Linked DNA regions of Nothobranchius furzeri. Each later gene encodes a partner of the first gene's protein in a complex. Links are inferred from orthologs where the notes say so. Each region holds a gene or a part of one and is shown on either strand. Other genes may lie near its edges.

Region 1 (16,528 bases):
AGCATGTTTGCCCCAAATCTGTTACTCAAACACACTTTTTACTGTTTTAACGCAGAGCAAAGTTTGGAGAGACAAGTGTTGCAGAGTCAGTGTCGAAGACTAGAAACTCAGAACTACAACCTCAGTCTGACTGCTGAGCAGCTGTCTCATAGCATGGGGGTAAGGAAAACACACGCCGCCTTACGCCAAGAGGCCCCAACACTGTAACGGGCTTCGACTTTGCTAAATCAGATTAAATTTCTTGTAAAATAAAATTTCTAATATTTAACCTTTTCTTTGTCCCACAGGAGCTGATGTCCCAAAGACAGAAGCTAGCAGTGGAAAGAGAGAAGCTACAAGCAGAACTGGAGCACTTCAGGAAGTGTTTGACACTGCCACAGACACACTGGCCAAGGGGCGGTCATTACAAAGGCTACCCTCCAAGGTGACCCCGCCACGGCGTTTTGATGACCCCCTGAACTCCCAAACACCTCCCTTCCAGACTTGAACCCAGAGTTTATTTTTCACAGCCTGGTCCTCGTGGCACCATACAGGAGAACGTGGCAGGCTAGCTAAGATTAGTGAGAAAATGAATAAATGGAGTGAATGAGTAGACAGGTGAATGCTCAGGGGAGGGAGAGGCATTCGGTGAAGGACAGTTAGGATTTGGATTGTGGCTTGCCAGGGACTGAACCGAAAACCACTGACGCGTGCCAATGTAGCCAACCTGCGAGCGGCGAGGCGGAACCTGAACATCCACGCAGACGCACCTGCTGCTTCCACTATCCAGCTCCTGCTGCTCTGTCGGTCGGTCCATCCCCGCACCCCTCGGCGCCACAGACAATCCTGCCAATGAAGGAGCAGCTTCCCCAGGAGGGGGTTTGTCACAAGACTTGAGAGCTCAACGCAAAGGCTTCCAGTCAGTTGGGACAGATTTTTTTTTTTCCAGAGGCCACGTGAGCTTTTTGAACTGGAAATGCACTTAAGAATCAAAGCTGAAGAACTACCTGTTGGTACCGCGTTACAACAAAGAACTATTCACACTAGGGAAGAACTTAAGAAATGTACTTTTTTTTTTTTGGAAAAGAATTAAGGAAATGTTTTATTTCAATAGAAATTTTTGAAAATAAGAATTTTAAAAGGTGCTTCAGCCTTGTATTGTAAATAATATGAAGACAAATGAATTTTGTATGTTTTTATTACTTTAATCATTGTTCTTTTAAGAAAAAAAAGCCTGCCATTTTTATATGTTTTTGCTTTTGAGGGGATTGCGAAAAGAGAAAAAAAAAGCCTTGCTTTTAGTGTTTGTACTGCTGCTGGCCAGAAAAAAACTCATTTTGAGATGTTGGAACAGATTGAGTGAAAGCAGGAAGTGCTCCTGCTGTCGTTCTGCGCCGAGACCTGGCCACAGCCACCTCATCCATCCCTCTGAGCTCAGCGAAGCTCACTCAGAGGGCCGCGAGACCCGGTGTCTTTCCGCTCACACCCCTCCCGTTTTCTTTCACAGCAACACGTCTTTATGTTAGAGACCCCTGCAACGCTTCACCGCTGCTAGCATGACACGTTAGCTTGTAATGTCCTTGTGCATAAAACCAGACCCACGTCCAGTTCAGATTGCTTTACCATTTGACCTTTACATTCTACATAGCCTTGAAGTCACAACATGCTTGCCTGAGATGCACCTTCCATTAAAGGACGTTGTGCCAAAAACAGCATTTTTTTTATCGCTGACCTTGACTTGAGTTGTAATTTGGCAGCCAAATATCCCCCACACCTAAAAAACAACATCTTACGCCCCTAAGCTGCAACATGTTTCCTAAAAATCACACTTAGAACCAGGAGTTGAATTTTACTTGTTCACATAGTCCGAGTTGTAACGGTTTGCTTGACCTTACACGTGTTCACAATCTGTGTCCTATAATTGGAGAAGTAGTATTATTTTTATGTTTCTGGTCTAAAGATGTTTGATCTCAGACCCCCTATGTTACAGATTTAACATCACTGGGATGTTTATGTTGAGGGGTGAAGCCTTTCAATAAGCCCAACTACAAAAAAACGGTGTATACATTTTAAAATGTACTTAAAAGAAGTTAATTTATAGTAAAAGAAAGAAAACACTGAAGCACAACTATGCCACACTATATAAAAAGTGCCTCAATAATTTGGGAGCATGCGAATGAGTTTGTCCACGTCGAACATTCTCCACCCAACATTAGCGATCAGGGACTCCACATCAAAGTGTCTTTCAAATATGTGCAAGTCAAGAACTGACACTAAACTGATCTGAATGCATCTCTAAAAACGTTTTTTTTTAAACAAAAGTTTCATTAATAATGTAAGCCTAAACCAGAGGACCACAGAGTGTAGCCTGTTACATTTACACAGCAGTGGAGAGAGAGGGCCAACGGTGCAGCCGGCCGGTAAACGAGGATGCATGCACGCTGAGGGAAGCTGCCAATGAGCTGTGGGAGGAAGGTGCAGTAAGACGATCCTCTTCCTCAGTCTCCAACCCACGCACGCCCATGCAATAGTCCTGTTACTCAGTGGAAGATGTCTAGATGCTGTGAAATCCTGTTTTTTAAAAAAATGTACTTGTTTAAATTCATTGTAATGTAATATATTCTTTGTTGAATGTAGTAATTAGGTATTTATGAATATATGGCTGTGATTTCAGACAAAAAAGAAAATAAAATACTTCAAAAATGTTAAACATTAACATTTGTGTATGCTTCATTGAACTGTCATAAAAAGCCCTTCCCAGAATGTTTTCTGCAGCAGAAATTCTCTCGACAAATCCTGATGCATTAGAAATACATTCATAAAGAAAAATAGAGAAATTATGGCAATTAAGAATGAGTATATTTATTTAGTTACATATTAAAAGCACAAACGATCAGCAATGGACTTAAATTACATTTGCATTTATCACAAACTGCAAGCAATAAAATAAAGATCTTCATCAAAAGAGGTAAAATCCCTCATTACTGGTTAAACTGGGTTCTAGGATGTTCCATCCAGTGGTGCAGGGCCTGGTTGGTAAGAACGCACTACTGTTTAATGGCATGAGCTCCGTCTGAAGACTCAAAGCGGCTACGAAGGCGTGGATGTTTTGGATTAGTAGTCCGTGAGCTGGCCCTTGCTGGACCCAGGCTGCAGGTTGGAGCGCAGCTTGAACATGAAGTTCAGAGAATCGAGAAGGAACTCCCGTGTGGTGTTGATCTCCATCAGGGTGAGGTTGTCCAGCTGCAGAGGGAAGGATGCAGAATGAGGCATGAGGAAGAAGAGGTGCTGTTCTGACAGATGACATCTACAAGTTATATATATACGTGTGTGTGTGTGTGTGTAGCTTTTGGTAAATTGAGTGCTTTAAGAGCTCAATATATATATTACCTCTACTTATGACCAATAAGCTGTGATACTATTTAAATATAAAATATCAACCCTGTTTGGTCTTTATTGTATTTATCAGAAGATTCTATGATTTTTGCTTTATTAAGTAATTGTACACACTTTGTTTTGAATCAGAAAAGAGTCAGGTTTATAAAAGTAAAAATTTATTTTATAAACAATTAAAACATGACTAGTTAACTAAGCATTTGCTGTGAGTGGACGGAACTAAATGTGATAGCTTCTACCACTGCTATGCAGACGACACCCAGCTCTATCTGTCATTTCCACCGGACGACCACACTGTCTCTGCAGGAGTATGAAACTGTCTCTCTGACATATCAAAATGGATGAAATCCACCATCTCCAACTCAACCTCTCTAAAGCTGAACTACTTGTCATCCCAGCAAAACCATCCACACAGCACAATATCTCAATCCAAAATGACTTCCTATCTCTGGCTCCTTCAAAGGCAGTTCGAAATCTGGGTGTTGTGATTGATGAACACCTGACCTTTAAAGATCATGTTGCCTCTGTTGCTCGTTCATGCCGCTTTGCGCTGTATATTAGTACAGTATCCCGGTTGCCTTCGTCATGGACTCCAGAACGCTTGCTTTGGCTTCCTTGTAGAGGAGGGGGACTTCTTTTTCTGTGAAGTGTTTTCGGTGAGGAAGTTTATAGCACGGCTCCATGGTGCGCACCACTAACCGAAACCCCCTGTTGTTCACTACTGAATACTGGCGTAGATCCGTCGCGATAAAAGTAGCTATTGCTTTTGTAATGCTCCTCGCCTTCTCCGAGTTCTTCGGTAGTTTGGAGACAGTCTTCAGGATGGAGAAAGAGGTCAAAGAGGTAGTGCCACTCACTAAACAGTCCGGGCGGTGAACGTTAAGGCTCCAGTTACGTGTTTTTATTTTTTTAGTACCGGCTTTGCAACAAAATGTTGATGTTATGTTTTTTTAAGCATCAACGTTCATTAATCGATGCCGAAACAACAGTAAAGCTTTTAGATGCATCGCCACATCGATTAATTGCACCCACCCCTAACATACGAAAGATCAGACCATACCTAACACAACATGCCACCCAGCTCCTGGTGCAATCTACTGTCATCTCCCGCCTCGATTACTGCAATGCCCTTCTAACTGGTCTTCCAGCCTGTACTGTCAGACCTCTTCAAATGGTCCAGAACGCAGCGGCGCGTCTGGTCTTCAATCAGCCAAAAAGAGCACACGTCACCCCTCTGTTCATTGAGCTCCACTGGCTATCGCTAGCAGCACGCATCAAATTCAAATTGCTAACACTAGCATACAAAGTCTGAGATGGTATGGCTCCCATCTACCTGAATCCTCTTGCTAAGGCTTACGTCTCGGCCCAGCCGCTCCGGTCATCACAGGATTGTCGGCTAGCAGTGTCTAAACCACGCTCAGGACAATCCAGACTCTTCTCATGCATCGTTCCACAAATGTGGAATGACCTTCCAAGCACTACCAGAACAGGGGCTTCCTTTTCAATTTTCAAGAAACTCCTGAAGACCCTGCTCTTCAGAGAGCATCTTCTAAACTAGCACCTTGCCTGCACCCGTCCCCCCTCTCTACTGTCCACTCCTTTGTTCCCTCCTCTCCATGACTGATGTCAAGTTGTTGTTGTTATTGTTGTTGTTAGCCTCAAGAGCAACATGCCGATTATCACTTGTAAGTCGCTTTGGACAAACGTGTCTGCTAAATACGTAAACATAAACTATGTATCAATGTGGTGTTAGAACCTCCTTATCTAGAAGAGCTGAGTCTGGATGTAAAAGAATTTGGTTTGCGCTACGCTATGAAGTTGCTATCATCAGAAGCACATCAGACGCAATCTTCACTGTGTTCTACCTCACCCTTTTGGAGACCCTTGTCGTGGATCCGGAGGTCAGAGAGGTCAGATGACCTTGGGGCACCCAGGTCCAGTGGATTGACAAGTACCGACTTCCCCAGTACCGAGATGTCACCAGACACACAGGCTGGACTAGCTTGCGTCTCAGGAGCAACTCTTAGGGAGTTGAACAATATCAGCTTTGTTCTGCAGGGACTGTTGTTCATCAGCTTCACAGGTGCACAAAGGTTTTGACGATGTGTCAAAATCTTTGACAGGGTGCACAGCCAATCAAAGGCTGACAGGCTTGAGAGATGTTACCAAGACAACTCAGAAACACGCCTTCTTTGACCGGACGTTCTGACTGGGTAAAAGACTATTTATGTGTCAGAGTTTAACGTAACCGTACTCGTTATTGTGTGAGTGCAGATGTTATGACCTCGCCATATAAACAAGCGGAACCACATTGCAATCATTGTAGACACAATATTCATTTCGCAATTCAATCATTGAGCACAGATTAATGGAACATTTCATTATAATATATTTATTATAAGTAGCAATAAACAAATGTTTATTTAATGATTATCTAGATTATTAGTTGTGGAATAGTTCATATTGACTTAGGAAATCATTCTTGGTTTAGCCACTGATCCGAGCTGGAGTGTTTTTGTGGAGGCCTTGGGGAAAGAAAGTTTATGTTTATTCATTTGGCAGATGCTTTTATCCAAAGCAACTTAAATTTATAACCTATAGGGCATGTTGTGATCTGTGGGGGAAAACCAGAGTACCCGGAGGAAACCCACGCATGCATGGGGAGAACACGCAACTCCACGCAGAAAGACCGCAGCCGAGTTTCATTTTGAGCATTTTTAATTCAGAGAGCCATTTGGGATTAATAAGACCTCATAAACATAGATAATAACTATACTGTCTTTTACGACAGGAAAATAGGAATAATCCTAAACATTGTTTTGAGCTGATCAGTTTCTATGATGACCGGTAATCCTGCAAAGAAGAAAAACATCAAGCTCCCCAGATGTTTAATTTACTAAATTATTCCACCGAATCACATGATTACAGCATCAAAAAAGTGCAACAATAAAATAATTGTGTTTTAATTCACGGTTTCTCTTGTAAAAAAACAAAACAGACGTGCTCAAGTGATTTTGTTGTTGTTGTGGGACATTTAATAAAATGTTATTTGAAATAATTCAACAAGAAAAATCTAAAAAAGAAGTTTCCAGATGTGATCTGAATTAAACCGGTGTATAACTACAATATAATCCTTAAAAGTCTGCATTACCTGGGCGTGAGCCTCCTGCTGATTGATGAAGCTGTCGGCGGACAGGCGTAGCTTGGCAATCCGAGTGTCCCAGATGTCTTTGACCAGTGTTCGGATTTCATCTGCTTTAGGAATGTTGTCAGAAGCACTACAGCAACACACACACACACACACACACACACACACACACACACACACACACACACACACACACACACACACACAAAACCATCAGCAGAGAGCACAACAGGATGGAAAGCTTAACGTTTGCATTAGTGACTTACTGGTTCAGTAGGAGTTTGGTGATCTCCATGTAGTACAGACTGGGAACGGGAGTGAAGGCATCTTCCTTTCTCTCCAGCGCTCGCATCTCTTCCAGTTTCTCTGTTGGAGCAAATCATTTAAAATCAGTATCATGTTTTTAGCTAATTATTTGCTAGGAACTGTTGATGAGATTATAAACCAATCTTGTGTTTAAATTCAAACTTTTAAGAGAAGTTAGAATTTACTAAATTCAAAAATAGAGAAGATAGTTCCATGTGTGAGTGAAGAGCACTCTTCTTTTAAAGGGGCAATGGACTGCTTTTATATCTGATTTTTTTAAATAGAAATATATAATAATTGCAACAATTATTATTGTTCTTATTTGCATCCGGGATTAAACCAGGGATAAAAAACTAACTCAACAGAGGACAGAAATCAGTGTTGTGTCCAGAAATCTAATTTTAAAAGTAGGAAAGTAGATATTGAGATACGAAATGTTCAAAAACAGTTGTAAAAGTTGATTGATTGATTGATTTTTATTTGCATAGATAAAGTAATTTCAGAATAAACTAATACAAGTAAGTATCACAATATGGCTTGAAAACATTAAATATACAGGGTAGCACAAAAAGTGTGACCCTAAAAACAGACAACCACAGTTTTAAAACATAACAATAAAAAGTATCCAAAACTGTTGAGAAATTGTGCCGTACACGCCAGAGCCCTTTAGGGGTTCTCAAACTGAGCCTTGTGACACTTTTACTGAAGTTAGTTTTCTGGAAACCTCTTTTTAATAAGAGGGATCGCGATGTTTAACCAGGGTGCCAAACTAAACAAAGAATCATTACCAACATCCATCCAGTCAGGAGGCAGAATCCTACATTTCTGTCGCTGCTTCAGGTTCAGAGCCAGCCACAGAGGAACATCCACGGACAGGCCGGGGTTAAAGGGTCCCAAGTCTCCCTGCGGACAGAAGTAAGGCTGTTCACGCGCCTCAGTAGTGACTTTAAATGTGTATTAACTCGAGATTAGCTTAATCTGCGCAATTTCTCTCAGACTTACCCCGATTAAAAAGATCTTGTCCAGGCTGAAATTGGGAATTATTTTGACTAACTCTTTCTCGGCTAAGAATTCAACTTCGGAAGGATCCATGACTTTGTTTTTGTTCGCTGAAGCCGACAATTCCCGCGCTGAAAATGTACGAAGCAAAATGCCAGGATTGGTCAGCTACGTCATCAAAAGAAAGTACCGTAGAGTAAAACCTGAAGTGCTACGAGTAATTTTATTTGTAGCGATTGTATTCGTTCTTTCAATTCATTGCATCAAAATAATGAGAACAGTGTGCTTCTGGCGTCAAAATCGTGAAGCTCCTGGCTCAACCTGACTATGACGGCAGCGATGGAACCTTGAATTTTAGTCCGGGCACTTCCGGAATGACAACTTCCGTATGAACTGCAGCTATAGCAGACTACCACCACTAGGCGGCAACTGTGAGCTACAACGGTTAAACCATACTTATTCTTCCATTTCTTTATTCAACCTTTATAGATCATGTAAGGCAAATATGTAATTCATCTTAAATGACATTCAAACAGGGAATTAAAAATATTAATAATAATAGAATTATTGGAAGTTTTCATTATTCATATATAAACCCGTAACCATTATCTTTAATACAATTTAGGGATTTTAGACACTTGTAATTAAAAAAAAATTAAAGTTGGGGTAATTTAAATATTCTTTGCTTATGTTTGAACATTTTGGCAAACAGAGGACCAAGTTATAACTATCTTGTTCCAATAGTAACAGTTGTCTCCTTAAATAGAAATATTTTTATTTGAAATTATATCCAGCCAGGATTAATGATTGACCTGCAGTAAATGACCCGTTGTCTCAAGTATTATCATCAATGTTTAAGCATTTTCTCAGCAATTCCTTAGAAGGATAAACGGCATTCAAACATTTTGTCAATTAGACTTTTGGTTGACTAGGAAGTTAGAGCTCAAATATACTTAGTTTATTGATACATTTAAAGTATGTTGTTCTTGTTCATTTTACAGGGGGATAGGTGTTCAGGAAGACAGTGTCTAGTAAATTGGTTTGTGCTTTTTCTATCAATGAGGGATATTCCCTGGATAGAAACTGGGCTTTACTGCCGGTTTATTGGTGTTCAATAATGTTTTTGGTTTTGAAAAGTAATTATTTTGGTAATTCTCTCAGCAATGTTGTGAAATCTGATTTAGGATGACTGAATTTACGTTTTAAACAGAAGTTATTATATATAAGCAGTTCACTGTTCCTCCTCGTACGTATATTAGTTGAATGAAAACTGATTTATTGAAGAGCATCTTTGGGATTTTGGCGTCCTCAAGTGGCGAGAAGCGTGAACTACACTTGTTCTGTTAAACCATCAAAGTTTTAGCTTCATTTCAGTGATGTTGAAAATAAATCCGTCTTTGTTTCTGTCCTTTGAGAATATTAATATGATGGCGGAATAGAAAACGGAACAAAAATAATTAAAGTTACAAAATAGTGGAAACACTTCCTGCAAATTATTTCAAAATAAAACGCTACAGCATTTTGGTGTTGGCAACAGAGGAACTCACTCGAACAGTCTTGTTCTCTTATCTAAAAACACTGTTAAAACTGCATTTTTGTAACGATGTTGAACAGAATGTTGTGTGGCGCAAAGCACAAGTCCCTACGGCGACTTTTTTCAGCTTTGTTGAGATGAGGCTGAAATGTTCTCTTCCAGTGTAGTTCTAGCTTGTCGCCACTGGAGGGCAACATTTCCCCTCCTCTTTGACACCAACCAGTTTGCAGCGCTGTAGCTAGAGTGTGTGTAGCACGACAGTGTGTAGTTCAGATAGATGAACTATTTATTTAGCTTAAGAAATTGGAAATGTGGCATGAGAGCTGTAAAAACAGTCAAATACGGGTTTCTCACGCTTGTTGCTTAAGAGTTGGCAGTGAGACAGATTTAAGAGTACAACCAATACAAGACTTCTCTCTAGATGTTTGCACTATCAAGTCTTTATTTTAATGTCACATTCTTGAAGAAAAAAACTTTATCACAAACTGACATAAAATGTCGCATTAGTCCTCGTTCTACCAGTTATCTGTACCACATGACCTTCACACACAAGCTGCTGATACATAAACAAATGAACACAACTCTTAAAAAAGCACATTAATCCAAAACTACCATCAGTGAGCTACAGCTCTGGAGTCACTGTAATTATTTCCCAACCCTCTTAAAATGCCAAACCCATCAAATTAAAGACAGATGTTTTACACACAATGAAGGAATTTGATCAGAACTTCATTTCCCATTCAATCAACGAAACTTGTGTTCAAAACTTCCACCAGGTGAAAAGGGATTTCGAGGTTCTGTCTCATAGACCGTAACCGTCGACATATAAACATAACCGTAACGTAATTATTCAAATGTAAATGCAAAACTAAATTATCAGACTTCATTGACCAGAGAAGACTTAAGAATAAACCATCCAGAACAATGGGCAGCATGGCAATGACAATAAGTAATCACATATTTGAAAAGCATTGGCATTAATATTTTAAAGTCACATTTTTAATTCAAGCGTCTCTTTTTAATGCAACTAAAACCTCAAGTCACCCAACACCAGCAGAAGAACTTCAGTTCTTGTGTGTGATCTCAGCGTTGTTATGATAGCTACATTTCTGCAGCTTCAGACCAATGTGTTAATTTTATTTAACCAAATTTTAATCATGTAAAACTCTTCATGTCTAGTTGATTTAAATTTGAGTTATATAGATCTATTACTCTAGAATCTAACGGAAAAACAAATTTATCATTTAGGCTTAGCACCTTCATCGCCTATAAATCGCCCGGTAAAGATGAACACAGGCCACTGGTGCACATGTGGCGCCTGAACGTGGGAGAATTTTGGCCCGCGTGATCGCTCGTCTGCATGTTTCTTCAGCGAAGACACTTTGAAGACTATGTGCTACCTGGTATGTAGCATCATGCAGACTAAAATGGCAGCGACATTTGAGGGTGCGCCATGTTGCTCTGAAGACTTCCAAGTCTCAACAAAGATCCAGGACAGATTTGTTAATGACGGGGTTGGTCCAGTCATTTCTTAAGTCATCCAAGTGATTGTCAAAGTCAATCAAGTTCTCGTAAGACCTGCCCACCAGCAGAGCAGAGGTGATCTTCTGTGCTTCGCTCCAGTCCTCAAAAGAACCCCTAGGAGATAAAAACACAAATAGATCCATTAGTTCATCATCTCTTTATTTAGTTTGCTTTAAACTTTGTAAGTTAATGGTCAAACATTTAGTTTATATGCAGAAGACATCAGCTTTCCACTGGGTACGTAAGCCTGCAAGCTCCTCTCCCACCATGAGCGTTTCAGATGCAGAACGGCAGAGAAAGTGTTCCATGCAGCTTGCATGGCGCGACTCCTGCAGTGCGCTCAATAACAAGCGGGGTTCTTTATTTTGTGTTCACCTCGGCTACGGAGGTTTCACAGGTATTGATGCACTTTTTTTTTTTTAATTAAGTAAAGCTTCACATGACTTTTATTTTGAAAGTTTCTGAATGTTTTAGTATGGCCCGATTCAAACTGCAGAGCTTGACGTGTTCTGGAAATGTAGCAGGTGAAAAATTTAATCGAAGTGTACATTTCGCAGAATGACACGTCCAAAACGCTTGCACGTCCAGTGGGAATGCGCAATCAGACGCGTACATTGTTACTTCTCTGTTTCTCCACTTGTTTTCATGATGATCATAAATGACCACAATGGGCTCTGAACAGCTCACTGTTAATCTGCTGTTGTCCACCTGCAGAATCAAAACAAATAAAATCACACATCCGTATCAGGAAACAGGAAAGGTATGGATATTTTTGCATTATTTGCAGAAATATGTCTAATACACAAATGGTTCTTTTGTTCCAGGACAGTCAACATTTGTACGACTTTTCAAGCAGCGGATCTCTAGATTCTGATTGATTAATGTGTTGTACAATAATTACAAGTCTTATTTAAATAACTTTACCATAACAATGGCAGCTTCGCTGAAGTTCTCGGTGATCCTAGCAGCCACTTTTTCTGCAACTTGGTTTGGTCTAAAGAGATTAGCACAAATGAAACAGTGAAGGGACTAATGTGAGGTATTTGTGGGAATGGTTTGTTAAAGAACAAAAGACAGAAGAAACTGTTTGTACTTTGAATCCTTTTTCCGTTCATTGGCTTGATAATATCCAGCAATGATATAATTGTTTTCTTTACACCAAGTGTCGATCTGAGAATAAAAACAAACAGGTCAACATGTAAAACAAGAGGGCAACGGCAGTCACAATAAGTAGACTTCTGCGAAAGGGAAATATTTTCCACTGAAATTTAAATCTATTGAAGTGTATCTAAGAATTACCATCGCCGCATATTTTCAGTGCCTGAAAAGACGGCTCACAAAATGTTTTGTTGTACTTAAAAAAACAAACTATGTTTGACCTTAATATTAATTTTAGTGGCATAGTTTCATTTTTGTTTATGACAAAACATAACATCAGTCTAGTACATAAAGTCTTTAATAGTTCCCCTTTCTTGCAGGGCTAAAAAAAACCTACAGATGTGTGAGAACCACATTTAACATTCATTACACATGAAATCAATCAGCAAAGTGAGCTTTAAAGTTTTTAAATGAATAGTTTCTGGGTAGAAAAGTACTGATCGTCATAACTTCTGCATTTGATCTGGAAACATTTTTAGTAGTTCTGCCTTTCTCAAAACAACCAGAAATAACTGTAAATGTGTCTTTTTGTTTTAAAGCTTACACGACTTCTCAGTTAGTTTACAATTTTCCGTTGATCCAAACAATAACATTAGCCATGTTGGAAAATGCATGGTGAGTAGGGCGGATCAATTTACAAACACCTGTCAGAGAAAGTCAGAGCCTTTCAACAAACTAATGAAAGAGACTGATTCAACTAAGTTCAAACAATGCACGTTTAAACAAATTATCAACTAAAGAAAACAAAAAGGTAACGTTTACTTCACAAATACTAACCAGCGTCAAAGCTACTTCTAGCATTGGTGCCAGAGCGAGAGTACCGTGAAACAGAGGAACACAGTCCACACACAAAACTGGAACTCCGTGGCCGTCTTTCTTCTTCTCCTTCGATTTTTCTGCTATTAGCAATCCATTCACGGCACAGTGCGGATATTTGGCAGTATGTAAAAGCATTTTGCAATACGCCTGACTTGTCAGTTGAATAGGCATGTTGTTTAGGATGAGGCAGGTCCTGACAAAGTAGGAGAGTTGCTAGTTACACGATAAAATAGAGCTTCTGCCACCGTTAGCTAGCCTTACTTCTCATGCCCGAAGAAAAGTATACATTTACCACTACAGTCTCAGAATATGTGGTCTGAGGAACAACATTTCACACGCCGAATTTACCGATACTGTTATAGGAATTACAACTGCCGTCTTTTTGTTAAACTAATAACTCGTGTCCGGATAAAAGAGCTAATCGTTCATCCACCTTCCACTCTTTAGTACCACCGGAATTAACGTAAAACTCGATTGGTTCCGCGCACTTTACGTACTTCTAGTTTACGTACGTGACGTGTATCCGTTCAGAGAGATCCACTTCCAACGCGGAGGAAGGGAGACGCTGCAGGTCGTATGCGTTTTTAGCAACTATATCGTTTGAACATTACAAACACTGTTACACAAGTCACTTTTAAATTAAATTGTAATACTATTAATGCTGTGACTCGAACTACACTGCAAAATAACAGGAATAGACAGTTTCACACGGTCACTGTGTCAGAGCGGATCGGAGCTAGGAAGAGCTAACTTCTCGGCTAGCTACCGTTAGCAATAAAAATAAAATATGTAATATGTGTTTATACTGATTTCACAAAGCCTTGGGTATTTCGCCATGAATTAATTTTATTAATCTGTGTGAAACTAAAACAATAGTGAAAGTTTGCGTTTAAGAAGCAGAAGTGTTTCATAGACATTTCACCGGGCGCTGTGACCTTGTGTTTGTAGCTAATGCTAACATTAGCGTAGTCTCATAGGTAAACGTGAATCTTTGGATTGTTTGCACATCTCCAACAACATGACTACATGACTTTAGCAAAAGGTGTTTTATATGCGTCACTGTTAACATAATGTTTGGCGCCTACCTCACCTTTTAAGAATTACTGAATAAAATATGGTCACAGAACACAAATTTTATGTGTTGCACACCATCAGTGTGTGTGTGAATGGATGAATGATACACTGTAGTGTAAAGCGCTTTGGAGTCCTTACTCTGAGAGGCGCTATACAAGTGCGGGCCATTTATTGTGTTTACTAATGCGAAACGTGTTTTACTATTTACAGCTTCTACGTTTATTTCTATACTTTGGTATCAACATGGTTTTTATAGACTGTATGGTAAGTGTTTGATTTATTTCATATATTAAAGTTTTTAATTTTATCTACAGGATGCTGACAACAAGAGCCCTTACCCTTATTGGCAAACGTGCCATTTCTACATCTGTCTGCTTACGTGGAGGACATGGTATGTCAAATAGGCATAAACAGCTGCAGGTTTTTCTACAGTCTAAATGTTAACAAGTAATGTTCAAATTAAGTCTACTTCAGTATATGCTGAGTGTAGAAGCTTTTCTAAAATAAATAGGAAAATGATGCACACCATTATGCATGGTATAGATTTGTTCTCCCCAGCTCCAACACACTTGATTCAGAGAAATAAATGGTCTAAACGTAGTTTAATAAAGTAGCAGAAGCTTTGCAGTAGACTATCAATTTCAACCAGGTGGGAAAAGCAAGAAATGGTAAACACGGAAACTGTTGTAGGAAGTAGTTTTTATTTTTTTTAATAATTGACACACCTCATATCACATCCACAGGTTGGAATAATTGTCACATTATAGCTGAATGGTTCTTTGTTTTACAAGTTGAGCCAGTGAGGGTTACAGGAGGACAGGTTACAGTGTTTTCCCTGCCACATTTTGTCACGATAATTAAAGCTTTTTTTCCTTAGTATTTCTCTTATCCAATGGCACCATCTAGTGGCTGACAAGCGTATCACACAAAACCGCTGTTCCTCTGTTTTTTTAAGATGGCTACTTCACATTTCTGTTTATAAATGTGCTTCTGTAGCCGACAAACCGAGCTAAAACATGCTGTTTTAAGAGTATTCTCATGTCATGTTGTACTTTCATATATTTATATTTTAGAGATTTACTTGTCTGTGAAAAGTTCATCAACTCTGCATCAGCCGAGGTATTCCTTAAATGTGAAGCGTCTAAGTGGTAGTCTAACGCTATTGGTTAGTTCTGGTCAGTTTCCTATTGCACGGAGCTCTGCCGGGCAGGGGGCGTGCTTAGCAAAAAATAAATAAAATAGATGTATTGCTTATATTATATCACAGTACTAGGGCTGGGGGTAAACGATTATTTTTAAAACGATTATTCTGACGATTATTTTATCGAATAGTCGACTATTCTAATGGCTATTTAGAAAATTAATCTAATGATTATTTTTCTATTGCACAATTAACAAAAAACATAAAATCTCAAATAAATTCCTCAAAAAATTGATAAATTCTTACTGTAAGAGAATAAACACTACAGGCCTTCCATTTTGTATAACACTGCTTTTATTGTGTTGTGGTTGGTTATGTTCTGGTGACGTGTAGAACTTTGGAGTGCAGGCTGCTGCCTGAGAGGTGGTAGAAGATGGAGTGTCTCCATGCTGCTTTGTTTTGGTCACTTATGTGCGTGAGGCGAGTGGTCTTACGGGTTAAACCAAACTCAGGTGATATTTTACACTAAACCGAAAACCCACAACACTCTAAATTTAATAAAAGGGAGATCTACACCACAAAAAAGATGCACTCTAAACCAAAACGTAACAGCTTATCCCAACGCAAGAAGCTGTTAGCGAAGATGCTAACAGTAGCTTTACCAACATTAAGTTCAAGTTACCAAGTTTAAATAAACCAAAAACACCCAGCAGCAAACAGACCAGCATGGAGGAGAGACTGCTACCACCAAAACAGCTCTCCTCATGTCTGAAAGAAGCTCCTTAATGAAGGGAGAAGCGCTCCCGGTGATTTTCTACATCTGCGATAGACACGAAGCAGCGCATCTGACCCCGGAAGTTGTTGTCCGTTGCCGGGAGACGAAGGGGCAAAACAGGAAAATAATCTAGTAGTGGACGGACGTTGTTCCGGGTCTTCGGTATTTGGCGGAGATGTTAGTGAAGGCGGAGAAGAGGGCGAACTAGAGGAAAAACAGGCAGATTCCTCCTCTATTCACAAACTCCTGGGGATGCAACAAGTGGGCGCGGTGCGTCGACTACCGGATCTGACGTCGACAAATTTTTAGAATCGAGCCGTCGACTTTGTCGAGGCTTCGCTACAGCCCTACACAGTACATGACAAGATAACCACTTTTACGGATTTCTGACAAATTATACATAATTTCTGAAAGAGGAAAACTCCGGAAAGCAGCTTTAAAACTTGGTACTGTCACTGCCATTCCAGTGTTTGTCTTGTAATGCTTACAGTTTACCAAAAAACAAAAACGGAGACATTTCCTAGGTTGCACAGATGTGCCTATATTAAAAAATAATTCCCAACATTAAAAAATATATATTTTAAATGGTAGCATTCTGAAGCTCTGTAATAAATAAATGAAGATCACATGTGAAGAATTCGATAAACTTTAATTATAACTGATGCTTACAAAGCT
Region 2 (12,089 bases), on another chromosome or scaffold:
CAACAAATCTCTGCCATCTGATTGGCTCAGAGTACTAACGCCCTTCTGTCTCTTTTTTCTACATGACGCAATCCCGCTTCGTTGTAACGTGCGCTTGTGCTGCTTCACGCTGAAGAATCGTAGACATGTCTGTCGGAAAAGCCGCCCGGAGTTTGTTAAAGTCGTTTCGGGGGGTTCTGGTGTGTTCGGAGCCGGTTCTGAAGCGGAGCTACGCGGCTGTCACCGAGGCCAGGTCGCTGCTGGAGCACGAGCTGGACGGTATCCGAGCCGCGGGGACGTGGAAAGCGGAGAGGATCATTACCTCCAGGCAGGGTCCAGCGATCCGCGTGGAGGGCAGCCGAGGCAGTGAGTGCTCAGAGTTACAACCAGCAGTTATTTATAAAAGTATCATAAAACAAGCTCTAAAGTCTGGATCAGTCCAGGTGATGCAGCGAGCTGCAGCTGACTGAGGAGGAGCGTTTTTCTGTTTAAACACAGACAAGTGGGTTGTCACAGCTCCTAAAGTTCACAAAAGTTACTACACGCTTCTGTCGTGACACGCTCACCAGCTCACCTCCGCCTGGCTTGTGTCCAGTCAGCAGCTTGTCAGCCATTTCTGAATGGAGAACCCTTTTATGAACGGCTAGGTCACTTTAGGCCAGTCTCTGTTCCTGCTAGCAGGAGGAAGCTCTTGGTGGTGATGAGATCACAAACTGGAAGAAATGGCATGCTGCTTGGCAGTGGTGCATTTGTAGTCCAGAAAAAAAAAATTCAGATTTTTCAATTTTACTTTGGCCGGTCAACATCTGCAACAAAAACACCATTTCTCCAAACTCATGCTGTTCAGGGAACTGTAAAGGTTAAAGTTATCATTTTTACACATTTCATAATGACAACAAATGTTTTTAGATTTAAAATGTTTTGAAGTTTCAAAGTTTTTTTTTTTGTGATTCCTAATTAGTGGAAATGCTGGGGTTTTATTTATTTATTTATTTGTTTGTTTTTAGGCATCCTGAACTTCTGTGCTAACAACTACCTGGGCTTGTCCAGCCATCCAGAGGTGGTGCAGGCAGGAATCGATGCACTGAAGTCCCACGGTGCAGGCCTGAGCTCGGTCAGGTTCATCTGTGGCACGCAGGTATGGCGCGTAATGCTCACTCGGACTAGAAGATAAATTCATCAGAACGGATCTTATTTGTGTTTTTAAGGATCTACACAAACATCTGGAGCAGAAGCTGTCAGAGTTTCATGAGCGGGAGGACTGCATCCTCTACGCCAGCTGTTTTGATGCCAACGCTGGGCTGTTTGAAGTATGTGATGATTCCTTCTTCTGTGTCCTGACGCCAAACTAAAATCACGATCTTTAAAAGGACTGTGACTACAGGTGCTGCTGGGCCCAGATGATGCGGTTCTGTCTGATGAGCTCAACCACGCCTCCATCATCGACGGCATCCGTCTGTGTCGAGCGAAGAGGCTGCGCTACAAACACATGGACCTCAGTGACCTGGAGGTCAAGCTCAAAGAGGCTCAGGTAAGGTTTGTCTTTCAGAGCTCCACTCTGTGCGTTTAAATCTGACGTTTGTTCGTTTTTGGTTGTTTGCGCCCTTAAGGTGGTGCTGTTAAATAAGTAAAAGTCAAAGCTCCGTTGGCGGCTTCTGTCTCGATGTCGTTGACGATCCAGGCTGCTGATGCTCCGTCTCTTTGTGTGTTTCCGTCCTCAGTCGTCTCGTATGCGTCTCGTCGTGACAGACGGAGTCTTCTCCATGGATGGAGACGTAGCTCCCCTTCCAGGGATCTGTGACCTGGCAGAACAGTACGGAGCCATGGTGTTTATAGACGAATGTCACGCCACGGGTTTCCTGGGAACCCGAGGCAGGTGTGTGAAGGTGCTGCTTTGAAAATGATTCGAGCTGTAACATGTGGGCTGTGCATAGCAAGCCATCAGGTGTGTTTATTTATTTATTGTTTTCCCTTTTTTCCCTTTTTTTCCCTTTTTTATTTTTTTCCCTTTTTTCTTATTTTTTTCCTTTGTTTCCCTTTTTTATTTTTTTCTTCTTTCTTTTCTTATTTTTTTCCTTCTTTTTTTCACTTTATTATTATTTTTTTTAATCAGGTGTGTTTTTAATTGTCGTGTTTCTAAATTGGCTTTTAAACGAAGCTTGGTGTTTAAAAACAGTCAAACGTCGTTTAACTCCGAACTCTACCACTGTGCAGAGGAACAGACGAGCTGCTCGGTGTGATGGACAGAGTTCATATCGTGAACTCCACTTTGGGGAAAGCTCTGGGAGGAGCAGCAGGTGTGTCCCATCTGCTCACCGTCCTTCATGCTAGCTTGGGATGTGAAATGGTGGAGTTAAAGTGTAATTAACACATATTTCCTGTCAGGCGGCTACACGGTGGGTCCGAAGCCTCTCATCGACCTGCTGAGGCAGCGCTCACGGCCCTACCTCTTCTCCAACGCCCTCCCCCCCTCCGTGGTGGGCTGTGCCACACGAGCTGTGGAGCTGCTGCTAGCCTCCAACGAGATTGCACAGAGCATGACTACCAAAACCATGAGGTATGCTTGCTTTAAAGGGACGTTTCATACGTTTTGAATCAGTCAAGCTTTATTTATAAAGCACTCTCCATACAACTTGGTGTGACACAGTGTTTTACAGTAAACTCAGTCCAATAAATACCGTCATCTCATGTTAGATGTTTGGGAGATAAAGTCAGGGAGGCCAGCCTGAGATGGTGTGGACGTGTCCAGACGAGAGGCAATGATTACGAAGGAGACGTTTGGACGTGTCCAGACGAGAGACGATGATTACCTAGGAGACGTTTGGACGTGTCCAGACGAGAGGCGATGATTACCTAGGAGACGTTTGGACGTGTCCAGACGAGAGACGATGATTACCTAGGAGACGTTTGGACGTGTCCAGACGAGAGACGATGATTACCTAGGAGACGTTTGGACGTGTCCAGACGAGAGGTGATGATTACGTAGGAGACGTTTGGACGTGTCCAGACGAGAGGCGATGATTACGTAGGAGACGTTTGGACGTGTCGAGACGAGAGGTGATGATTACGTAGGAGACGTTTGGACGTGTCCAGACGAGAGGCGATGATTACGTAGGAGACGTTTGTACGTGTCCAGATGAGAGACGATTACGTAGGAGAAGTTTGAATGTGTCAAGACGATGATTACATAGGAGACGTTTGGACATGTCGAGACGAGAGACGATGATTACGTAGGAGACGTTTGGACGTGTCCAGACGAGAGACGATGATTACCTAGGAGACGTTTGGACGTGTCCAGACGAGAGACGATGATTACCTAGGAGACGTTTGGACGTGTCCAGACGAGAGGCGATGATTACGTAGGAGACGTTTGTACGTGTCCAGACGAGAGGCGATGATTACGTAGGAGACGTTTGGACGTGTCCAGACGAGAGGCGATGATTACGTAGGAGAAGTTTGAATGTGTCAAGACGATGATTACGTAGGAGACGTTTGGACATGTCGAGACGAGAGACGATGATTACGTAGGAGACGTTTGGACGTGTCCAGACGAGAGACGATGATTACATAGGAGACGTTTGGACGTGTCCAGACGAGAGATGATTACGTAGGAGATGTTTGGACGTGTCGAGACGAGAGACGATGATTACATAGGAGACGTTTGGACGTGTCCAGACGAGAGACGATGATTACCTAGGAGACGTTTGGACGTGTCCAGACGAGAGACGATGATTACCTAGGAGACGTTTGGACGTGTCCAGACGAGAGGTGATGATTACGTAGGAGACGTTTGGACGTGTCGAGACGAGAGGTGATGATTACGTAGGAGACGTTTGGACGTGTCCAGACGAGAGGCGATGATTACGTAGGAGACGTTTGGACGTGTCCAGACGAGAGGCGATGATTACGTAGGAGACGTTTGTACGTGTCCAGACGAGAGACGATTACGTAGGAGAAGTTTGAATGTGTCAAGACGATGATTACGTAGGAGACGTTTGGACGTGTCGAGAAGAGAGACGATGATTACGTAGGAGACGTTTGGACGTGTCCAGACGAGAGACGATGATTACATAGGAGACGTTTGGACGTGTCCAGACGAGAGATGATTACGTAGGAGATGTTTGGACGTGTCGAGACGAGAGACGATGATTACATAGGAGACGTTTGGACGTGTCCAGACGAGAGATGATTACGTAGGAGACGTTTGGACGTGTCGAGACGAGAAACGATGATTACTTAGGAGACGTTTGGATGTTTCCAGACGAGAGATGATTACGTAGGAGACGTTTGGACGTGTCGAGACGAGAAACGATGATTACTTAGGAGACCTTTGGATGTTTCCAGACGAGAGATGATGATTATGTGGGAGACGCCAGGCTGAGAGGAAAACAAAAAGGATTTAAAGTTGGTCTGTGTGACCGTAGAAGATGCAGAAAACAGGACTAAATGGAGACAGATGATTGGCTGTGGCGACCCATAAGCCTGGACACAAATTAGACCCGAGTCATTAAAACTAACACTAATTTCTCATAATAAAATAATAAGATAAAGGCTACATCAGCTTTCTGATAAGGGTTAGGGCTCAAAGCAGTTAAGATAAAACGGGAAACAGTTCCTCAAAGGAGCAGCTAATAGGATTTTAACCTCAAATCAAACTTGAGTTTGCTCCAAAAACACGAACCATCGGTGTAACTGAGAATGATGTCTGCAGATACCAGTGGTAGCATGTATAGACTAAACTGTGCTGGGCCTAAAGGTAGACCCTGTGGAACTCCTTATTAAAGTGGCTTGTGTTTAGATGAGTAAATTATAATGGCATTACCTAATAAATCACTTCAGACAAAAATTTAATGGTGTTTTAACACATTTTTATTCATCTTGTTTTGAAGAGTGTTGCTCATCAGCTCTGAACACACAGACACTTCCTGGATCACAGCAGGGCTGAGATCTTCATCACTTTTGGTTAGGATGAGCGTCGCCCCACGTTTTAACCAATGAGATTATTGGGGGCGGGGCAAAGACTGGTTCAGCACTGACGTGAACCAAAGCTAAAAGGAATGTTGTTGATCTTTTAACCTAACGTTTTCTTCCATCTGCTCCAGACAGCAGAGTTGATTAAAGAAAACTTCCTTGTGAACACCGCCATGTTGGATTTTCCTGTCACCTGTTTAAAATATCAGCAAAGGCTAAATGAAAGCAACAAAAGCTAACTGATGCCTCAGCAAAGTGGATCGCTACATGCTACAGGCTAATTAGCACCATGAAGGATAATGTGTGGTACTTTAGTTACAGCTACTTTGTATGGGAGTCCGTTACTTGGGCATTTTTATTAATGCTGTATCTCACGAGGTATAAAACTTTATTTAGAACATTCTGATTTGACATCATTTTAGATTTCTGCAATAATAAAAATATGTTTACATAAAGGGAGGATATTTGTCTACTGCCCACTCCTCCAACCAATTTCTACTTCCTGAAACAGGAGCGCCAGAGCTCTTTTCCCACATATCGACTCTCAATCACATTCATTTGTGCTGGAGACCACTGTACATGTACTGACTAAACAAGTCGACTTGATCTTTAAGATAAGTTTGTAATCTGCGATTAATCACGAGTTGACTATAGAACTTTTGAGGATTTTTAACATTAAAACGTTTTAACTGACGGACAGAATCCGAAACGGAGGCTGTTAAGGAAACTTAGAAAGACTTCTTAGTCTAAAATGTCTTCTGAGGGAAAGATGTCACCAAAGCAGATTAGCTAAGAACAAACACGACGCTCCCACCTTCACATGTGATCGTGTGACTGCTGTCCAACCAGATTCCGGAACAAGATGGCGCATGCCGGCTTCACCATCGCTGGCTCAGCTCACCCCATCTGTCCCGTGATGCTCGGCGACGCCCGGCTGGCCTCCACGATGGCCGACGATATGCTGAAGCTCGGTGAGACTCCACTTCCCAACAAACTGCATCAGGATCAGGTTCACATTCCCATGACCGCCTCAGTCTGATGGTTCGTTTATCCTGTTCACAGGAATCTACGTGATTGGATTCTCCTACCCAGTGGTGCCAAAGGGCAAAGCCCGAATCCGCGTTCAGATTTCGGCCGCGCACACCGACGAAGACATCGACCGATGTGTGGACGCTTTCATTCAGACGGGAAGAAAACATGGAGTCATCTCCTAAAAGAAGTTTAATTCAACCGCAGCGCCTGTTACTCCACACGGATGATGTAGAAGGAAACATTCGTTACATTTGAGCATTTTTTAAATAAGTGCTGTTGATAAATGTTTGTATTTGGGGTTTAAAAGAGGGCTAATAATGAATAGCCTACACTACGTCTTAGCACGAGAAAGCTTTTCTCTTTTATCCACAAATGTGATTTTTAAAGATTGCTATATTAAAAAGTTTAGTGGTGCTGGAACTAATGTTGTATGATGAGAACTTGTGGAAAACATTAAAGGTGCATTATGGAAGTTTGACAGTCAAAACATGTATAGAAATAATAAATGTCTTCTTCATACATTCTCCTGCAATGCCCTGGTCCTGTAGAATGAGCCCTGGCATTTTTACTGTGATTGCCTGTTTTTCTGTAAAATCACAGAAAAAGAGAGATGCTCGGGTCGAGCAGGCTGCTTCATTCACGCTCAGGCATCGCCCGTAGCGTTTGCTATCAGTAGCTTTAGCAGCAGAGAGAGAGACAGTGCCACTTTGTCGCTGTTCCTAACGCCTAGTGACAAAGCTAGCTACATTTCTGAGGACCCTTAGCTACTTTCTGTAGAACTTTCTTCTAGATATTTCCTGCAAATTAGCAACAAAATAGCCATTTTCGCTCCGAACCGTTCTTTGAACGTTGTTTCAGCTGTCATCAAGGATATAAATGTTACAGATACTGTGAATGTTACTAGAGTGTAGCTCACCTTGTGAGACGACGGACTCGCATGCAGAACACCTGTGTTCGATTCTAGGTGTGAACATAGTTTATTTAGAGTTTATTTTTTACATTAATGGTATATTTTTTTACAGTAAGATGCCCAAATTTTTATTGGAGACTCGCCGAACGGCATTGAATTCACAGATAAAAAAGATGTGGGTTCAACTTTCATTTTGGAACAATTTTTCAAGTAAGGGAAGGGAATGATCTGAGCATGCAGGAGGACTGACCCATCATAAACCTTTGTCGGCTGTGCTGAAGAGAAAGGTACAGAACCAAATTATTTAATGAATTAGCTGCACGTTCTCTTGTCCTCTGTCCTCCAGGCCACCCACACACACACACACACACACACACACACAAGGGACTGTCTCAGCTGTTGTTTTCGTTAAGGAGTGTGCACGTACAGCATGCGCTCCTCGTGCACGAGCCTACTATTGAAGCTGCTGTTACGCTTTTGGCCTGAGGGGGCAATCGCGAGCATAAAACTTCAAAAGTCCGTAAAGTATTAAATTAAGAAGAAAACTCGAGGCTGTGTTTGTCTTACTGAGATTTATAATTAAGAAGAAACAAAGGTCTGTGATGGACTGGGGACATGTCCAGGGTCCTTTCCTCTCACCCAATGCCTGCAGCTGGAGATGGGCACCAGCTCCATGTCGTCCTAGTGAGGATTAAGTGGATGGATGATTGTGCACAAGTGACTTAGAGCTTGTCCCAAGTGCACAAACCAAAATACAACATGGCAGCACCTGCACACAGGAGTCACTTGATGGGAATAATGTGTCTAGTTTCAATGCAAGTTCATGAAAATACCAAACAGGATCATACCTGCGGTGGTGGAGGGTTGATGGTTTGGGCTTCTTGCACTCATTGAGTCTACTCATCTTTTTTTAATGGTTGAAAAGTGAGTTTATGTCTCTGATGTTTAACCCTCTCAGGCTCAAAATAAGTTTTGATAAAAGGACGAACAACTAAGTCCTTCAGGGGTACTTCTGAGTTCAAAAGTGCTCATGAAATACTTATGTGGAGTAACCAGGTAGGTAGGCTTTAACTGTTGCAGACGCCTGCCTCCAGAGGGTTAAGGGAGTTGTTCTAGTAGGAACAAATGTCTTGTAAGTTGTTCTCGGGGGTGAAAAATATACCGATGCACTATTTATCTGACCTAAAAGTTGCCCACGTTACAGCTGAGCTATTTGGACATCTCGCCCCAGATTGGATGACAGCAACGCGACTCTACCATTGACTTGCAACAATGTTTTATCCACTAATAACACAAGTCTTGAGGAGCTTCTGCTGTGTGGTGCTGCTGCTAATGCTAATGGTTAGCTACATTCTCTGCGGTTTCCTGGACGTTAAACAACAGCCTCCCCCGTCGTGAGTCAAGATGGGTGAGTCCATGAATGTTAGTGACAGGGTGACGTAGATCTGTCAGGATTTTCTAATCCCAGAGTTTCACCGTCTGTTTTCTATCAGAAGCTAAAGCAGCCGGAGATTGGTGTAGGAGATTATTCTCGTGTTCAGCCTGCGAGAAACACGAGTGGCTGATTGATCATAAGTAGAAATAAAAATAAAAGAAGGCTTTTTCAGTGTTGCACTCTTTTAACGCGTTGGAGTAAAGTTGATCATGAAAAGGGACCAAATCCCAAACACAGCTGATCTACAACAGAATGGTGTCCAGAGTCCAGACCCACAAACCAGAATGATGGGAAGTCTCAAACTCTTCCAAAGCCGTGTGAGCCTGAAGCACCCAGACTGGAGTTTTGCATGAAAAAGGTTGAAATATGTTTCTAATAAATGTTAAAGTCTGATCTTTGAAGACAAAACAGCTGAAACGTTTGCGAAAACGAGCTAGATGTTCTCATGGCTCCTCTGCATGTTGAGCTGGGCAGCACGACGCTCCCGCCCCTCCCCCTTTGTGTTTTTCGCGCCACAACAGCGCTAAGCTCCACCTTCCCCCGTAACGTCACGCCTTTTGGAACCCTCTGTGACCAATAGAAAGAAGCCGGATTTAATTCAGCCAATCAGAGAACAGAAGAGGCGTGTAGCGAAACAAGCGGCTCGCGGGAAACAGACAGGAAGCAGATCGTTTTTTCCCGCGAAAGGACTTCGCTCTGGCGCATTGTTCCTGTTAGTGCCGCTCTCTGGGATCGCTCTGTCTGAGAATAAAGTCGTGTCCCAGCTCCGAGTTTTAGTTTAGTGAGCTGCAGCAGGATGTCTGGCTTCGACATTCCCGGAGTTTATTACAGCGACAGCTTCGGAGGAGGAGACGCGCCCGGCGGGGACGACGGCGGGCAGAAGCGGGCTCAGATCAAGAAGCGGTTCCGAGAGTTCCTCCGGCAGTTCCGGGTGGGAACGGACCGCACCGGCTTCACCTACAAATACAGGTGAGCAACACAGACGGCCACAGCCACCAAAGAACTGGTTTTAATAAGGAGGTAAATGTTCGAAGTGAAACGACACAAAATGTTAAAATAAAAGAAGTCTTTATCCGGAAGGTACCTACCAAAATAAGAGCTGGGTGAGGAGATCTAAGGTTTCAGGGTGAAATGAGGCTTTTTTGTGAGTGTGTTCCGCCATCTTTAAGGGAGAGCTACCGCGACCCCCCCTCCCCGTGCCACGCCACACACACACACACACACACACACACACACACACACAAGAATGGGCTCTCTTCACCCTGCTTTTATTTTGGTAGTCTGTCCGGATTGTAACATCTGTCCGTCCTTCCCATCAGAGATGAGCTGAAGAGACACTACACCCTGGGAGAGTTCTGGGTGGAGGTGGAGATGGAGGACCTGGCCAGCTTTGATGAAGACTTGTCTGACTGCCTTTACAAGGTTCCTGCGGAGAACCTGCCCTTGGTGAGTCTTCTGCTGGAGCCAGACCCAACTGTCAGGCGAACCTTTCCAGCGACATCCTCTAACAGATTTTCATTTAACAGCTGGAGGAAGCTGCCAAGGAGGTGGCGGATGAAGTGACCCGTCCTCGACCTGTAGGAGAGGAGGAGGTGCAGGACATCCAGGTCATGCTCAAGAGCGACGCCCACCATGCTTACATTCGCACCCTGAAGGTACCTGCTGACCCGTGTTGTTTAAGAGCCTTGTAGTCGTCGCGCAGGACTGGATTACACTACTTTTCTTCTCGTACAGTCGGAGCAGGTGTCTCGTCTGGTGAAGGTGCACGGGATCATCATCTCAGCCACGGCGGTGAAAGCAAAGGCCACCAAGGTGTGCCTCCAGTGTCGCGGCTGCAGGAACACCATCAAAAACATCGCGCTGCCGCCGGGCCTGCAGGGTTATGCTCTGCCCCGCAAGTGCACCAGGTGGGCGTAACCCAGAGGAGCCGCGCTTTCCCCCGGGCTTTCGGCCATCAGCGAGGAAGCTAACGCACCCCTTTTGTTCTCAGTGACGCTCCTGGGAGAGCAAAGTGCCCCGTGGACCCGTACTTCATCATTCCGGACCGCTGCGTTTGCGTGGACTTCCAGACGCTCCGTCTGCAGGAGTCTCCGGATGCCGTGCCACACGGAGAAATCCCCCGGCACCTGCAGCTGTACTGTGACCGGTAAGGAGGGGCGGCGTGGCGTGGCGTGGGTGTTTGAGCCGGGGCGGTGTGTTCTGCTCACTCAGGTGTCTTCTCTTCTCTCAGGTATATGTGTGACCGCGTGGTGCCTGGCAACAGGGTTACCATCCTGGGGATCTACTCCATCAAAAAGATGGCTGCTGCCAAAGCAAAGGGCAAGGAGAAGGGCATCGGCGTCGGGATCCGCGCGTCCTACTTACGAGTGGTCGGCATCCAGGTGGACACAGAAGGAGCAGGTACCGCTTTACGTCTGCTTCACGAGGCTGGCCTCTAGTCCACCCGGAGAAACGTTCCCCTTCTTCATCCCGTCCAGGTCGTGGTGCCACCGGGTCCGTGTCTCCTCAGGAGGAGGAGGAGCTGAGAGCTCTTGCTGCTTCTCCGAGCATCTACAACTCTCTGGCTCAGTCTTTAGCTCCCTCCATCTACGGCAGCGACGATCTGAAGAAGGCCATCACCTGTCTGCTGTTCGGAGGCTCGAGGAAGAGGTGAAACCGCCACCTCGCCCCATTCCCCCCCCCCCCCCCTTAGGGAATTTTGTGGATATTTAATCTGCAGAAATGTTTCTTATCTGACTTTAATAGGTAACCTTTTTGATTTTCTTCCTCCAGGCTGCCCGACGGTCTCACTCGCAGAGGCGACATCAACCTTCTGATGCTCGGAGATCCCGGTACGGCCAAGTCTCAGCTGCTGAAGTTTGTGGAGAGGTGCTCGCCTATCGGGGTAAGAGAAGCTTTCCCGGAGCTGCTGCTCTGACGCCAGCATGAGGAGAAGCTCAGCGGTGTGTCTGTGACCTTCAGGTCTACACCTCCGGGAAGGGCAGCAGCGCAGCCGGCCTGACCGCCTCGGTGCTTCGAGACCCTAGCACTCGTGGGTTCATCATGGAGGGAGGGGCCATGGTGCTGGCCGACGGAGGAGTCGTGTGCATCGATGAGTTCGATAAGGTAGGACCGACGCCCGAGCGTCAGCGTTAGACCCGGTTCGGAGTCTAAATCTGAGCGGTTTCTGTTTCTCAGATGAGGGAGGATGACCGCGTGGCTATCCACGAAGCCATGGAGCAGCAGACCATCTCCATCGCTAAGGTACGTACAGCTGATGCGCCATCTTGGATGTGAGACGGTTGCCGTGGTATCCTGACGTCCTCGCTTCCTCCAGGCGGGCATCACCACCACCCTGAACTCCCGCTGCTCCGTGCTGGCCGCCGCCAACTCCGTGTTTGGTCGCTGGGACGACACGAAGGGGGAGGACAACATTGACTTCATGCCCACCATCTTGTCTCGTTTCGACATGATCTTCATCATCAAGGACCAGCACGACCAGCAGAGGGACATGGTGAGGAGGCTGGAGCCTCGAACGCGTCGGCGCCCCCTTCCTCCGGAGTGTAACCTCACCGTCTGCTTGTTCCCCAGACGCTGGCTCGCCACGTGATGAACGTCCACCTGAGTGCTCAGACGCAGACCGAAGGTGTGGAGGGCGAGGTTCCTCTGGCTACGTTTAAGAAATACATCGCCTACGCCAGAGCGTGAGTCGGCCTCGGGCGTTTGGTCTGTCGTCCACAGTCGCGAGTCCGTTCTCAGACTGAGTGTGTGCTTGCAGGAAGT

The links.
Region 2: gins2 (region 1) and mcm5 share a complex: the UniProt entries of both Homo sapiens proteins name them as parts of the CMG helicase complex. The link is inferred for Nothobranchius furzeri from reciprocal best matches to the Homo sapiens genes GINS2 and MCM5.

What each region holds. Positions count from the first base shown.
Region 1 is NC_091749.1:57,264,619-57,281,146, forward strand, and holds gins2 (DNA replication complex GINS protein PSF2), read right to left. Parts: upstream 8,167-16,528; 5' UTR 7,922-8,166; coding exon 7,832-7,921; intron 7,733-7,831; coding exon 7,618-7,732; intron 6,890-7,617; coding exon 6,790-6,889; intron 6,654-6,789; coding exon 6,527-6,653; intron 3,223-6,526; coding exon 3,094-3,222; 3' UTR 2,826-3,093; downstream 1-2,825. Other genes in the region: gse1b (genetic suppressor element 1), read left to right, coding at 56-159, 288-428; emc8 (ER membrane protein complex subunit 8), read right to left, coding at 10,841-11,000, 11,500-11,594, 11,811-11,880, 11,980-12,056, 12,822-13,034; cox4i1 (cytochrome c oxidase subunit 4 isoform 1, mitochondrial), read left to right, coding at 14,253-14,328. UniProt on the Homo sapiens protein: Required for correct functioning of the GINS complex, a complex that plays an essential role in the initiation of DNA replication, and progression of DNA replication forks.
Region 2 is NC_091752.1:68,033,931-68,046,019, forward strand, and holds the start of mcm5 (DNA replication licensing factor MCM5), read left to right. Parts: upstream 1-8,988; 5' UTR 8,989-9,123; coding exon 9,124-9,296; intron 9,297-9,646; coding exon 9,647-9,773; intron 9,774-9,853; coding exon 9,854-9,982; intron 9,983-10,061; coding exon 10,062-10,234; intron 10,235-10,317; coding exon 10,318-10,473; intron 10,474-10,557; coding exon 10,558-10,727; intron 10,728-10,804; coding exon 10,805-10,976; intron 10,977-11,099; coding exon 11,100-11,211; intron 11,212-11,288; coding exon 11,289-11,432; intron 11,433-11,504; coding exon 11,505-11,570; intron 11,571-11,643; coding exon 11,644-11,820; intron 11,821-11,897; coding exon 11,898-12,010; intron 12,011-12,084; coding exon 12,085-12,089. Other genes in the region: gcat (2-amino-3-ketobutyrate coenzyme A ligase, mitochondrial), read left to right, coding at 126-345, 987-1,117, 1,188-1,289, 1,364-1,510, 1,701-1,855, 2,194-2,276, 2,365-2,536, 5,800-5,921 and 1 more. UniProt on the Homo sapiens protein: Acts as a component of the MCM2-7 complex (MCM complex) which is the replicative helicase essential for 'once per cell cycle' DNA replication initiation and elongation in eukaryotic cells.